Linked DNA regions of Elephas maximus indicus. The protein of the gene in region 2 interacts with the protein of the main gene of each other region in a biochemical or structural test. Links are inferred from orthologs where the notes say so. Each region holds a gene or a part of one and is shown on either strand. Other genes may lie near its edges.

Region 1 (7,499 bases), on a different chromosome or scaffold from region 2:
TCTGTTTTCCAAAAAGTAAACCCAGATAAATATTCAACAAAGGCAAAGCCTAACATAGCACATGCTGGGCTTCCAGGGCCAGGGCTGTGGCTAATGCTGACATCAGTCTGATTTGGAATTTTAGCTGTGAAAACCACGAGGTCCCAGGACTTGGGCCAACTATGATTTACCCAAACTACGGATCCTGGGTTTCTGGAGAAAGGAGGATGGTGAATATAAGGCTGTCCCGTAGACACTGGAGGGTAGGAGCTGGATCTTAGTCCCTGCTCTGGCCTAGGACTCCCACATGACCTTGGGCAATTCCCTGGCCCCCTGAGCCCCTGTGCCTCTGCTCTGCCCCCACCCCATCAAGGCTGCTGGGAGCATGGAGCCTCCATCCCTGAGCCCAGGGACACCTGGCAATGGAGTGGGAGGGTGCAGGGCCCTGGCCAGGGGTCTCACCAGCTCTGGACCAGCTGCACCGAGGGTGTGCTCAGCACCCGGTCAGGAAGCAAGTTGATCTCCTTCATGATGTTAGCCAGGCGCACCGGCAGCTCCTGCCTGAGGAAGGTAAAAGAGGTCTTCTCACAGGCATTGCTGGACCCTGGGGGAAGGAGAGAGGGGTGAGCCCAAGAACTTCAAACTAGAAGAGCCAGAGGACAGGTCAGTCAGGCTCTTCGTGTACTGAGGGCTCAGAGAGGAAGCAGCCTGACCAAGAGCACAGAGCAACACAGGTCTCCTCCCCTGCATGCTCAAACCTCCATACACCATGCCTAACCTTCCAGGGGGCTGCATCCTCTCCCCACCTCCAGGTGAACCTTTAACCATGGGGGACAGGGCCACCCATCCCTGGGCCCACTTGGAGCGGCCTCTGGCCTAAGTCACCTCAGTCTTCTCTTTTCTTCTGGACATTCACTTTGGGGGATTGATCCAGGTGGGCAGAGCAGTCTGGGAAATCTATCCCTACCCAGGGTGGGGGACTAAACCGGGACCACTGCGGTTGCAGGGTCCCAGTGTGGTCTCTTCCAGGCTGCTCCTGATGCCCACTGCAGAGTGGCACCCTGCATTAATGCCTGCCTGTAAGGCAAACAGGGCCCAAGGACAGCAGCCCCAAACCGAGGCCTGTCTTTAAGAAGAGGGCTTGGAAGTCTGAATAAGGCCATGGCCTAGAGTCAGGAGACCTGGGTTCTAGTCCAGGCTCTCCTTCCAACTCTGTCACTCAGAGTGTGTCACCATCTTTCTGAAGGTCTGTTTCTCCCACTATACTACGAACAGACTGAACTCTACTGTGGGCCCCTCCCAGCAGCAACATTTTCTAATTGGGGCCCAGTCTGGGCTGGACAGTTGCTGGGGCTAGTGGTGGGCCCAAGAAGCTTTCCCATACTGGGGAAGCTCAAGATTCAAAAGCCCAGGAGGTGGGCAAACAAGTCTGGGGCAACAGGTGCCCTTGTGTTCTGACTGCCCCCTCCCCGCCCCTTCCTGTCAGTGACGCAGCTGTAACCTGAGCCAGGCACTATCTTCTCAACTCTTCAGAGACCTGGGCCAAGAGAAGCCAAAACCCATTGCTACTGAATAGATTTTAACTCACAGGGACTCTGTAGGACAGAGCAGAACTGCCCCATAGGGTTTCCAAGACTGTAAATCTTTACAGAAGACTGCCACATCTTTCTCCCCGGAGTACCTCATAGGTTCGAACTGCTGACCTTTAAGTTAGCAGACAAGCACTTTAACCACAGCACCCCCAGGGCTCCTTCAGAGACCTGGGCACCCCCTCCCAACCTCCAGCTGGCACCATGGAAATACTGTGTGGACAGACAGAGCCTACACAATGCCTGCTTCAACTGGCAGGTTGGTACCGCCTTGCTCCTGCCCCACAGCTACCTCCAGATGCTGGTGGTGGGTGATTCTGGCCCAAGAATCCAGAAGCAGCCAAGGGTGGGTACAAGCGACCTGACTTCACCTTATGGTGCTAGGGCCCTGCCAAGCTAGGGACAGGGTGCCAGGCTGGGGCAGATTTGATCTTCAAGTGTCCTTGCCCACCAGGATGGTTGGGAGCCACATCCTTCATCCTTCATTGGGTTTACTGGTCAGGAGCTCCCTCTCTGGTTGGCATCTTCTTCTGAGAGAGCCCCCTTCTCCAACTGCTCCCTGCTTTTCTCTCAGTCTATCCAGGAATGTCTAACCTTTCCATGCCCAGCCCAGGTCTCCTCCTTCCAGATGGCTACCCCTCCCCAACTCTTCCTTGTTACTTCCACTAGCACCCCCCATTTCCTCTCTATCCCCCATTCTTAGAGTCATCATAATGCCACATTAACCCTTTAGTGCTAGAATGTCACCTTACTCCCTTCCTACCCTAATGGCCCCCCCTCCCCCGTCCCTTACTCCCCAAGACCCCTCACAAAGCCCAGGAAGAAACCTTGGACCCATCGTTCTCAGTGCCCTCCCCCCTCCCCCTTCCCATTAGTAGTTCAGTTCACAGTCTCTTTTCAGCTGGGGCGCCCCTAACCCTTTCATGCCTCGGTCTTCCCTTTCCTCCCCGTTAACCTTTTCCTGCCTGTACCCTTCCTAGCAACCCTCCTCCGTCACTCAGGGCCTCTCTTCTCCTCCTCGTTAATCCTTCATTGTCTAGACCCCTCCAATCACCCCCAAATCATCCCCCGGCTGCCCCTCTCGGTGCCCCGGTGCCAGCTGCCTCCCGCCTCTCCGTACCGAAGTCCAGAAACTGCTTCATGGACAGCGGGGATGGGGAGAACTTGCTGAAGTGCTCAATGTACTTGGGCGCCCCTGCCAGGGAGGCATTCTTCAGCAGCGCCCGGACCCAGCGCATGGCGGCGGCCGCGGCTCGGGTTCCGACTCTGTCACAGCACGCGTAGCTGTCGCGCTCGGCTCGGCCCAGCCCGGTCCAGCCAGCCTCAGCAACCCGGTTCGGCCGCCAGCTTCCCCTGGCCCGGGGGGGGCCTCTGAACCCCAGCCAATCGGCTCGTTGTGGCGCCCCGACGTCGCCAATGGCCATGTGCAAACAACTACGGGAGAACCACTAACATTCCGCTCCGGCACGTGGCTTCCCTCTGGGCCCGCCTGCTTAACCCCGTCCCAGCCCGCGGCGGCCTGTTGTTTTCGGAGGGCGGCGCGGCCAGTCCGCCTCTGATCTTTAACTCCTCCCTTTCCTTCTAGGGTCGGAGGCTGGGTTAACTCCTTTCTTCCCAGAGGTCCTTCGAGCCTTTTAATTTCTTTCCCCTCCAATTTCCTCCCTTTCCCTTGCTCCCTCCCCAAATCTCCACCAATTGTCGGCTCATTTTAACCCTTTCCTTCTCTGAATTGTCCAGGTAGCTTCCAACTAAACTTTCTTCGCAAAGGTGCTTGTTTCACCTGTCCTGATCTCTCCCTACTTTCCCTGAGGGGGTCTTGTGGGTCCCTAGTCTCTCCCCAACCCTCCAGCAATCAGTCTTCTTGGACAGTTTCCATGACGGTGACCCAGACGATGATTATTTGCAAAATTCTGAACCGGGATGCGAGCCTACATTAATCCCTCATATAGACATACGGCCCTCCCACTTCCACAAAGATCCAAGCGCCTCCTCCAGTTGAAAAACACGGAGTCAAAGCCCTAACAGCTAGCGTCTACGTGTGCCGTTTTCAAAACATTTTCATTATTATCTAGCTCATTTGACCGAGCAGGAATCTTTGGACATCTAGCTGAGAAAGCGACTCTCTTCGCACTGGGATTCCTTAAAAAGAGGTACCGGGAGATGATTCGTGCTGGGGCCGAAGGGGAAGCCTGTGCTGGTCCCGGCCTCCCTGGGTCCTCCTTTCCCAGCAGCCCCGCCTCTCTGTAAGGAACATACAGGGCCCTCTTGAGGTCCAACGTGGTATATCCTGTACTGGGCCAAGGGGTCAACACTTTGATAGCATCTTTCCTGGGTTCAGTCTTCTGCCCGCACTTACCAAATGCCAAAGGCTGAAGGTTCGAGTCCACCTGAAGGTGCCTCGGAAGAAAGGCCTGGCGATTTACTGCCCCAAAATTAGCCCTTGAAATCCTATGGAGCATAGTTCTACTCTGACATTCATGGGGTCGCCATGATTAGGACTCGACCCCACAGCAATTGGTTTTTAATGTGTGCTAGGCTTTTTCCTGGGAACAGGAAACACAGGCAGGATTAGAACATGGTCTTTCTCCTCAAGCGCTCAGTTTGGGAGATACCTGCTGTTGCGGATTGAATTGTGTCTCCTAAAAATAAAAAGAAACGTGTTGTAAATTCTAACCTCTATGCCTGTGGTTATAATCTCATTTGGCAATGGGTTGTCTTTGTTATGTTAATAGGATAGGTTAGTCTAAAATCATTCTCTTTTGAAATATAAAAGAGATTAAAAGCAAGCTAGCAGAGACTGGGGAAGAGAGATCCCAGGCCACATGAAGATTGCCCAGGAGCTGAAGCTCAGAAGAGACAAGGACCTGCCTCCAGAGCCAACAGAGAAAGAAAACCTTCCCCTAGATCCAACATGCTGAATTCAGACTTCTAGCCTCCTAAACGGTGAGAAAATAAATTTGTTTGTTAAAGCCATCCACTTGTGGTATTTCCATTATAGAAGCATCAGATAACTAAGACAGCTGCATAAGTAAGTAAGTAGGTACAACAGAGTATGGTGAGAGCTAACACAGAGTTGTATGCACAAGGCTTCACAATGGAAGACACTCTTAGCTGAATGGATAATAACTTATGAGCCAGGCACTGTTTGCATACATTATCTCATTTAATTCTCAAGACAGTGCTATTGTACTGTTATTATCCCCATTTTATAGATGCGGAGACTGAGGCTCAGGCTTCATTCAGAAGTGACTGTAAAGAACAGGACTTGTGGGAAACAGTTTGGTGGTTCCTCAAAAAGTTAAACATAGAATTGCCATATGATCCAATGATCCCAACTGTGATCTTTAAGGTGGTGTGTCAGTTTGGCTGGGCCATGATTCTCAGTGGTTTGGCAGTTATGATGTAGTTTGGCAGTTGTATAATGATGTATAATCACCTCCATGATGAAATCTTATGTAGTGTGATCTCTTCATGGTGGGATCTACTGTGAGTAGCCAATCAGTTGAAAGGGAGTTTCCTTGGGGCTGTGGCCTGCATCCAATATAGATGGACTTTCTGGCAAGGCTCTTAGGCTTTTGCTCGCTCTGGATCCTGCAGCTGGCTCCTGTTCACCTGACATCCGGTTCTTCGGACTTGAGCTAGCAGCTTGCCTGCCGATCTTGGGGTTCGTCAGCTTCTGTGGTTTCGATCTTGGGTTCACCAGCCCCTATAGCTATGTGAGTCAGGAGAAACCTCTAGCCTGACCCATGGACTTGGGATTTCCAGCCTCTCCAACTTCATGAGCCACTTACTTGATATAAAGCCCTCTCTCTATCTATGTACAGACAGATGCTTCACTGGTTTTGCTTCTCTAGAGAGCCCAGCATAAGACGCTGAGAGTGGTTCTAGAGAAACAAAATTGTAAGGATGAGTTTTCTAAATTGATTCTCAAGTCTGGTTAGTCTTAAAGACATTGATGACCCTGCTTCCGGTGGTAAAGAGGGCACTGCTAATCCATGGCGTAAGGTGGCAATAGAAATAGGCAAAATATCACCACCAATAGATCACATATTGGTGAGAGGTGAGGCTCAGGGTCATCACATGCTTGTACCTCTCTACAATTTTGTCATAATGAGAAGTATAAGGAAGCTCGTTGGTTGGTCCTACTTTCTCTAGACAAAGTAGTAAAAGAAAGGGATGAGCTCAGGGGCTCAGAGTCGAAGCTCAAGCGCTGCATAAACGACCTCAAAGTTTCCACTTGTGTCTTGAAAGAAAACTTTATTTCCTGTAGGATAGAGCTGATATTGCCGAAAACTAAGCCCAGAATTTTATTGTAAAAGTGGCTTAATTACAACACCAACTGAATTCCCAACCTCAAGTGATGTCTGAAGTTAAGGTGAGGGCATTGATTGGTCAGAAATGGGATGCTGAAAGTTGGGATGGGGACATATGGGCAGATAATCAGGAAGCTGGGGACCCTGAGCCCCTAAATTTGGTTGAATCACTCCTGCTAACAGAACTAGCCCTCCCACTCCCATTTGAAGCAATTACTCCATCTTTATCCGATAAGCCACCTTCTCTGGTAAAACCATTAACCTCTCCACCGCCATTTGTTGAGATTCACCCAGCTACATCGGAAGAGACTTTGTCTGAGTCATTGCCTGGGGTGTTGCCTGAGGCAGATGCCTTACAAGACAATGCTGAATGTTCCCAAAACATATCCCCACCATCCATTTTGGCTTCTAGGCTAAATTCCCAGGGAACCCCAAAAGGTGAAGTACAAAGTGTGACCCAGGAGGAGGTACGCAACACTCCAAAAAAACTGCTTGACTTTTCTAATGGGTACAAACAGAAACCTAGGGAATATGAGTGGGAATGGCTATTAAGGGTGTGGGATAATGGTGCAAGGAAGATAAGGATGGATCAGCCTGAATTTACTGATATGGGCCCACTAAGTACAGATACTTCATTAAATGTTTCAACTCAAGAGGTTAGGAAAGGATCTAATAGTTTATTTGGTTGCGTTACTGAAGCGTGGATTATGCTGTGGCCTACACTAAATCAAGCTGAAGTACCAAACCTGCCTTGGCATACTATAGAAGAAGGAATCCACAGGATTAGGAAAATTGGCATGCTAGAGTGGATTTATCAGGTTAGACCCACAGACCCACACATGGAGTGCACAGAGGATACATCTTTTACCACAATGGTGAGGAACAAATTTGTGAAGGGGAGCCCCAGCATCCTCAAAGACTGCTGTGATTGCTATTTTATGTAAGTCAGATTTGACAGTGGGAATTGCCCTAGCTGAGTTAAAACACCTAACTACAATGGGGCTGATTAGACCTTGTGGTGGTTGGGGCCAAGTGGTGTCGCTCAATCAACAAAGACAAGGTTGGCATGGTTACCGTAATGGACCATGGAGCCAAAGCAGTAATCAGAATAGCCTGGCTCCTATGGACTTCTGGCGTGGGCTACTTGGTCATGGTGTCCCTAAGTGTGAAATAGGTAGGAAATCTTCGAAATATTTACTTGATCCGTACAAACAAATGAATTCTAGGTCAAGCGAACAGCAGTCTAATTCGAATTGTCAGAATAGAGAGTCACGGCTCTTTAATCAATTCCCAGACTTGAGCAAGTTTGAAGACCCAAAACCCCTTAAATGAAGGGGGGGCCAGGTTCCCTTGAGGAAGGACCCCACTACACTGCTAAAAATTTGTACTGTTAATCTTTCTTCCAGCCTTTTCCAAAGGGATCTATGGCCTTTTACGAGAATTACTGTTCGTTGGGGAAAAGGAAATAGACTTTTCAGGGATTACTGGATACTAGCTCTCAACGGACACTAATACCAGGAGACTCAGTATGTCACTGGGCCCACCAGTCAGAGTGGGGGTATATGGTTGTTGTTGTTGTTAGGGGCTGTCGAGTCGATTCTGACTCATAGTGACCCTA
Region 2 (7,732 bases):
GAAATTTTTCAGTTTCACACAATGATCTTAGCACAGACCATGCTGTTAAAATTTTACTGTGCTCTGTACCTAGCATCTGTCTTTTCACTCACAGGAAATTCTCAACTTCCCAGATATCTTTCCAAGATAAAAAAACTAACATTCAGAACTATTATCACAATAGTCACTTCCACCCCAACAAAATCCAAACATCAGATGGGCTGATCTAAATAAAAAATTGCTTTGCTATTTATATGGTTTGTGTGTCCACTAAATTTGGATGCTTTTTCAGTTTCTGTGGGTTCACTTGCTGTCTTCTTAGTCTTTCGTATCTAATTAGCAACAGGACTATGCTGAGTGAAAAATCATTTCAATCGATGATGCCTCAGATAAGGAAAAAAGTAAAGCCTTTTAATGCTAATTAAAAAAAAATTTTTTTAAGTGCTTTTCTTGTTCTTTATCTGCTTCTTAAAATTAGTTAACCCAAAAATCTCTATTGAGAACCTGAAAGGGTAATTAAGGCACAATTCTAGCACTTTCATACAAAGCCATAGACACATAATGGTGAGGACTGAACGAGATCTTACGTTGTGAGACAGAATCCGCTGAACAGGATGAAGTAAGCATGTGGACTAAACACCACGCAAAACTTCATCAAAAATGATTGTTATCAACAGGCCAGGGAGTAGACCATTATGTGCAAAGGGAAAAATAGTTCTTACACAGAAATTCCTATAAATAAACTAAGCAAAGGTAAAGTTCTTTACCTTTAGCCTTAATCCTTTAAAAAAAAAAAGTGGCTTTTTTTTTTTTCCATTTCCAATCTCTAAAACACACAAATACACAAGGAATAACTCTAATATCTAAGAAACTGATTTAGTTAATAGATGCAACAGTGATTCCACTTATTGTCTTCAGCTTTATTGCAATGCTATTATATATTTATTCTAACATTTCTTTATTGTCAGGTTTCTGGTTTATTAACACTACAAGATTACTTCATCCGCTCTTAGAAAACAGATCACCACATGCCAAAGGAAAACACCAACTGGGGACTTTCAACGGACAGCACTGGAGACCCACTATAAAACTATTTATACAGGAAATAGAGACAAGTACAAATCATCCTCAAGATCTGTAACTTAATGCTCTTGAATAAGAAGTTCAAACATTATTCTCTACACTACAGAGAGGCTCAGAAGGGTTAAAGGAGCTGTCCAAGTTCACACACCTGGACATAACAACGATCAATACAAGTTGTTTGCATGCTTAAATCTCTATTTATTCCCAAATGACAAGAGTCAGCCACGTTTAATACCACTTTCCAGCATGTGGCAGCAATCTACGAAAAACGATGAATAAGTACTAAATTCTCTAGAGCAAACACTCAGAGGCTGAGCCTCACCTGCATGTGAGTGGGATATGAGCTACCAGGAGGCTGAGCAGAAGATGCAGGTGGTGAAGCAGCAGCAGCAGGGCTTGGTGCTGGGGCTGCTTGTGGGGTAGGTGCTGCCGAGGAATCCAAAGTATAATTTGTAAAGGCCTCAATATCCTCAGGTCTAAGGAAGAGAAAGAAGGCATAAATATAAGGGGGTTATAAAGCAGATTCAGCTCCCAGAGAAGTGGTCTTGAGAAGCTTTTTAACTCCTAATTTCTCGATTCTGGGTTAAAATGCTCCACTCTGCACTAAAGTTCCACAATACTCAGGGTACCACTCACTTTTCAACTGTAATACAGATGATTGCTCCAACTGGAACATCTCTGGTACCTTCGGCAACAAGTATCTTTGCCATGTAACACTCCTCCAGGCTCTCAAAACCAACCGTGGCTTTGTCAGTTTCGACCTTTTAACACCAAAAGCAGTGTCAGTTTGTGCAGCCAGAATGAAGTTTATTAGCTTATGTCTGAAATTACACAGTTCAACAGTGTGACAAAGCCTCTATCACAGATCTCAAAGAAGGAATCATTAAAAGAAATGTTAGCTAAAAATCAGTTTGGACAGCTGCTGACAACTTATCTAATAAATCTTCTCTAATTCCAAGCTGAAAAAATACCAAAATAGTGTCTTAAGCAAAGCAGGTAACTACTCACCCAGAAACCTAACGCTCAGTTTAGCTTAGGCAGTCCCTTCGACAACTTACCTCTGCAATTAGTTCACCCTCATTGATTTTTTCCCCTTCCTTTTTTTCCCAACGGGCTATGGTGCCTGCCTGCATTGTGGGGGAAAGGGAAGGCAATGGAACCTAGAGGAGAAAAAGGAGAAACGCCAACCTTAAAAAGGGTGACCTAATTCTCAGTCTGGTGTAAGGTTTCATTCAATCCGATCTCATCTAATGCGAAGTTTACTAAGTCCCACTACACGCTGGCACTGAAGATACAATGACAGTTCCTGCTGCCAGAAGCTCATGCTCTCCAGTGACAGGCTTCCTGCTCCACAGTTTTGTGGGTCTGACAGAGAACGCCTCAGCAGGCTTTTCGCATAAAGCCCCGGGCTTGGGGCTCTTCACTCAATGGGACAGATCAGGAGAGGGAAGTTCAACAGCAAAACTGGGTTAGCAGGCGGGCAATGACAGATAGTGCAAGGCGGGGAGAGGATCACTGAGGCCTGAGGGAGGTTTCGAGGCCAAGTCTGCCCTGAAGAACAACGGGGTCCACGAAGGACGAGTCGGGGGCTCACCTTCTGATGAGGGGGGAGACTATGACAACGGCGGCCGCGTGACCCCAAAAGCTGCAGCAGAAAGCGGTTCCGCGGTGTGGGCCAAGAGCTGGGGCTGAAGCTGCAGAGTGCCCGGACCCCGCCATAGCCGGTGGTCGTGCCGTTGCAAAGCGCCGGAGCCGGGCTAGAAAGCGGGGCCGCGCACAGAGGTCCAGGTCTCTCCCTTAACGTTGCGCACCGAGCCCCGAAACCCGCCCTCGGGGCTGCACTCTGAGCCCGCTGGGCACAGACGCGCCACATAGCGCCACAGACCCCCACTCCCCAAACCCAACGCCCTCTTCCGAGTGACCTCTCCAAGAGCAACCCGACGCTGCCGTCAGCCGCGCCGCGCAGCCGCACGTTGTCGTAAACGGCCCCGAGGATTCCCCCGCGCCCCTCCCCAGGCTAGGGGCGGGCGGGCGGCCTGCGCGTCCTTCGGGCGGGCGCGGGGGCTGCTTCGGAGCCGCAGGCGCGGGTCGTTCCCGCTGAGCCAACGCAGCCGAAGCCTGGAAAAAAGTAGGAGGTGGAGGGAGGTGGGAGGCAGGGCGTCGGAGGAAAGGCATTCCAAAGGCTAGGACGGCGCCTAGGAGGTGCGAAGGGCCCAGTCAGAAGGGAGGGGCCTGGAGAGGCGCACCGGGCAGGCCTCGCAAGGTGTGGGGCGCAGTGGCCTGAGAGGCGCGGCCGAGCCGCGCGGGCCGGTGTTGTGGAAGGGCCCTGCATCGCGAGCCTCAGGCCCACGGGCGGGGTCTTGGGGCGCTTCTGTAAAGAAGGGCGCTCAGCATGGCCCAGGCGAGTGTCCTGCACCCTCCTGATCCGACGGTGCCCAACGGTGACCGGGCTTGGGGCCCTGCCCCGCGCAGGCTTACTATATAATTATAATATAAATATATATTACGGCTTACTGGCTTACCCCAAATCAAACCCATTGCAGTCGGGTCGATTCAGGCTTATAGCGACCCTATTGCAAAGATTTAAAGATTTAATCCCAAACAGAAACCCACCGAATGAACTGATTTTTCAGCCAGATGGTGCGAACCGCAGCCAAGTGGAAGACACAATCCCATATTCAGGTGTACTTCAGGGGGATTAAGCATATACTCTGTATGAAGATAAAGGTTTATGAAACAGATTTGCTTTAACTCAAAATTTACCATAGAATCCGTTTAGACAGCAAAAAGTTTTATGTTTTAAATACTTCATACCAAAACTAAACTATAAGCTGATGAGGGCAGGGATCTTGTCTGTGTACTGTTCTTCAATATGTCACCAGAGCTTAGTAATGTTAGTTGCTGTCCAGTGTCGGCTTTGACTCATGGCGACGTTATGTGTAACAAAACTACACATTGTCTGGTCCTTCACCATTTTCATGATAGTTGGTATAATTAATAATTAAAAACAGGAAATTGGAAGTCAAATGAAGGCTCTCAGGGCTACAAACCGAAAACCAAACTTGTTGCCTTCAGTCAGTTCCAACTCATAGCAACCCTATAGGACAAAGTAGAACTGCCTCATAGTTTCCAAGGAGCGCCTGGTGGATTCAAACTGCTGACCTTTTGGTTAGCAGCAGCTGTAGCTCTTAAACACTAGGTCACCAGGGTTTCCCCAGTGCTAAAGATTTATATATCTAGAACATTTCATTTGAAGTGATAAATGAAGCCCGCTTAAGTTTTGGGTGTTCAGCTTTCAAACTGATTTGGGCATTCTTTTTCTTTTAAATACACATTTCTGAAAGAGACTTTTATGAATGCTTCTTGCTTTTGCATTAGAGACTTGTCATACAGTTTACACCCTCAGGTTCTCATTTGTTTGCACATAATTCCAAACGAAGCACTAAATCAGTGAATTCTCTTTGATAGAATAACCTATTTTGTGCTTACATGGAAATACCAGTAGCAAATTATCTGTGGCAATAAAGTAATCCTTATCTTCACTCTCCAAGTAGAGAGTAAACATACTACCATGGAGATCACTTCAGATTTACTTTCATTAAATGTAAATGGTTTATTGATTAATCTTCATCAATAAATGCAAGTGAAGATAAAGATTAATAGTTTGCAAACTCCATTTTTTTCATAGTTTGTTTTTTTAAATTAGTACACAAATCTCTGGTACATACAGGCAGTTAAAACTGGTTATCACTTTGATAATCAGAAACCTCTGATATAACACAATCTTTATGAAAACATACCATAAAACGGAGAATACACAGAAATAATCTCTTTGAAAGCAATGGTTGCAAACATCCATGTTTCTAAGAAAATATAACTTTACATATATATGTATTTTAAGCAAGCTATACCTTTTACATAAATTCAGACATAGGAGGAGTGTGCAATAATAATGCTCGTTTTATGGAAAAAATGAAAATAAATACAATGATGACCTAAGTGCTTTTTGGTAGAGTCCTCTTAGTTTAGATGTACTGCATGGAGATAGTTTCCCTAATTTACATCCATCCTGGTCAAAAAGAGCTGTAAAGTTGGTAAGTAAGTAGAATTGCCATCATCAAGTGAACTTAACACGGATTCTTTAGGCACAAACTGTAAAGTGTTCCACTGAGCAAGAGAACAGTCATCAGGTTTAAAGAAGACTTTTTAAAGAATTGAGTTCTTTACTAGTTTATATTTGAGGGTCACTTATTTTTTAATTTAAAGTGACTTAGAGATTATTTTATAAATCTAAACATTCTGGTTCCTTAATTTTCCCAAGGAAAGAGAATGCCAGCAGTATCAGGACAGACTATTCTACAAAATACCTCTTGGGGGGGGGGGCAATACAATGCATAAGTCAAGGACTTAGAGTGCAGCCACATAGTACATGCAAATAGACGATTACAACAGAATAAGTAATGAGCATGCCTCCTCAGAAGGCTTCTCTCCCTTTAGAAACTGGAAGGAGGATCACCAACACATTTTACATGAAAGATCACACACTAGGGATGCTTAGTCACTACCTATGCTAAACCAGCTAGAGGGAAAAATGTCTCACCTCTTCCCCTGAACTCAGCTTTACTTTTCGACGGAGGCGCTGAGCCCACGCAGCTCCTTTTCCAAAGGACATAGAGATAACACAATGTAAAACAAAGTAGAGGAACCCTGAAATTACCTCTGATTTAATTTTCTCTTAAAAGTCAAATTCCAAATAGTAAGACTGTTTGCTCAAAGAAGACTGGCAAGTAAAAACCAATCTAGGAGACATTCAAGATAAATTGTACTGGAATTACAATAACAAATTTTGGTCTGATAATCCTCATGCTGTCGTATAGCAAAACACTAAAACACATACAATAAGGAAATTTGTGACAGGAGGACTTTTTCTCCAGACTTCCTGGGTAAAATAAACTGAGAAGGTACTGTTTTCTTTCACAATGAATTATTCTTGCTTTTGACTTACTTTCCCAGTCAATTTCTGATGAGAAAGTCTTCAATAGCAAGAATATCAGGTAAACAACAACGAAAGAAACTAAGATGTCTTTTGAGCTCTTTCTGTCTCCTGAAGGAGCAATCACATGGATTACATAACATTGCCTCCACAACTAAAATTGGCAGGTAGAATTAGAACAGGAAGTAGTTGTCATCAGTACATGGTAATAAAATAAAGCTTGTTCTGACACTACAAGGGGTGGTAAGAAGAGCCTGTATAAAAGCTACTGGGTTCCCTAAAAAATGGATACAGTATACAGAATGGGAGAATATACAGAACTCACACGCAAGTTATAAAAACAGACATGGTTCTCAGACAAAAAGCAAATGAGTACAAAAGAATTCTCCAAACATGAGCTATTTAAAAAGACACATCTATATAAAACAACAAGAGGTCATCTCGGAGCTCCAAGAGTAGTCTGTTGAAATGGCTGAAAGGGGGAAATGAACTAGAGACAGACAGGTCAAGAACCCAGAACTGATCTGTCTGACTCTTCCGGTTGGCAGTGTACATTGGTGGCCAGAGGCAGAATGCTTTTGGGAATACCATATGTAATAATGGTTAATTGGTTGATGATACTTAGTGAGTGAATGAGAAAACCTAAGTTACTAAGTAATTGCTGGAAGTTTCACTCCTTTAGTTTCTACACTTGAAAATGTTGCATATGAAAAAGGATTCTGTTTTTTTTCACCCAGAATCAACCCTGCCATTCACAACTCATGCTCCATGCCCCGTGGTTTCTATAGTGCCCTAAAGGCTCAGTCTATACTAAATATATAATAGAAAATAACTACTGGTCTTGAGATGAGGAGGGGCATACCAGTAATTCATGCTCAATACTCATAAATCACAAAGAAACATAAAATCAATGGTCTGTCTCCTTTTGACTGCAAAGGAGATGCCATGAGCCTGATGGGTAAAGAAAGTCACGAGAGAAAGAAAGTCAAGAAGATGTGGTAGCAGCACCTTTCCATACCCGCCTGGATTTTTAAGGAGCTTTTCACTCCTTATTCCTTTCAAACACAAAGTTCATCAGCTGGAGGGAAAAAAAAATGGCTCTAAAGTTAAGAGTCCCCAGAGAAAATTAGCAGTACATGAAATATGCCATTTGGGCTAAAGGACAAACTGCAGAACAAGTTAAGACACAAGAGTCAGCCTAAGGTCTTAATTGTGGTTTTGAGAATAGTATAGCACAACATGGGCAGCCCTTTTCCCATCCAATCAACAATTCAGCAACAACCATGTCCAGTCCAAAAGATTAATGAAGGGTGGGGCCTTCATCTTTGGTACCACATGATGAGTTATTCTTGGTTTGCAATAGCTGCAAGGAAGCAGAAAAGCTGGTACCTTTGCCTTGTCTGTGAGTACAAATGCTGGGACTCTGATTGCTGCAACCACTGAGGCCAATTAAAATAATACTGTAACACACAGGAGTGAAGCATCCAATTCTTAGATTCCAGGTTATAGCAGCCATGCCCCTAAACAGGCGGGATTGTCCATCCCCACTGGTTAAGGCCTTCGGTTTGTTGTCCTCAGAGTAAAACAAAACACTGTGTTGCCATGGACAAGGAACTCCAGAAGGACCCACAGTCTACATTTGGACAGGGATTTTAAGTACCGAATATGCCAGGCACA

The links.
Region 1: the proteins of DLAT (region 2) and PDK2 form a complex in vitro, tested with the Homo sapiens proteins (2 studies listed by BioGRID). The link is inferred for Elephas maximus indicus from reciprocal best matches to the Homo sapiens genes DLAT and PDK2.

The regions. Positions count from the first base shown.
Region 1 is NC_064837.1:43,535,251-43,542,749, forward strand, and holds the start of PDK2 (pyruvate dehydrogenase kinase, isozyme 2), read right to left. Parts: upstream 3,014-7,499; 5' UTR 2,993-3,013; coding exon 2,689-2,992; intron 584-2,688; coding exon 442-583; intron 1-441. UniProt on the Homo sapiens protein: Kinase that plays a key role in the regulation of glucose and fatty acid metabolism and homeostasis via phosphorylation of the pyruvate dehydrogenase subunits PDHA1 and PDHA2.
Region 2 is NC_064825.1:6,860,646-6,868,377, forward strand, and holds the start of DLAT (dihydrolipoyllysine-residue acetyltransferase component of pyruvate dehydrogenase complex, mitochondrial), read right to left. Parts: upstream 3,001-7,732; 5' UTR 2,936-3,000; coding exon 2,657-2,935; intron 2,223-2,656; coding exon 2,121-2,222; intron 1,824-2,120; coding exon 1,699-1,823; intron 1,539-1,698; coding exon 1,385-1,538; intron 1-1,384.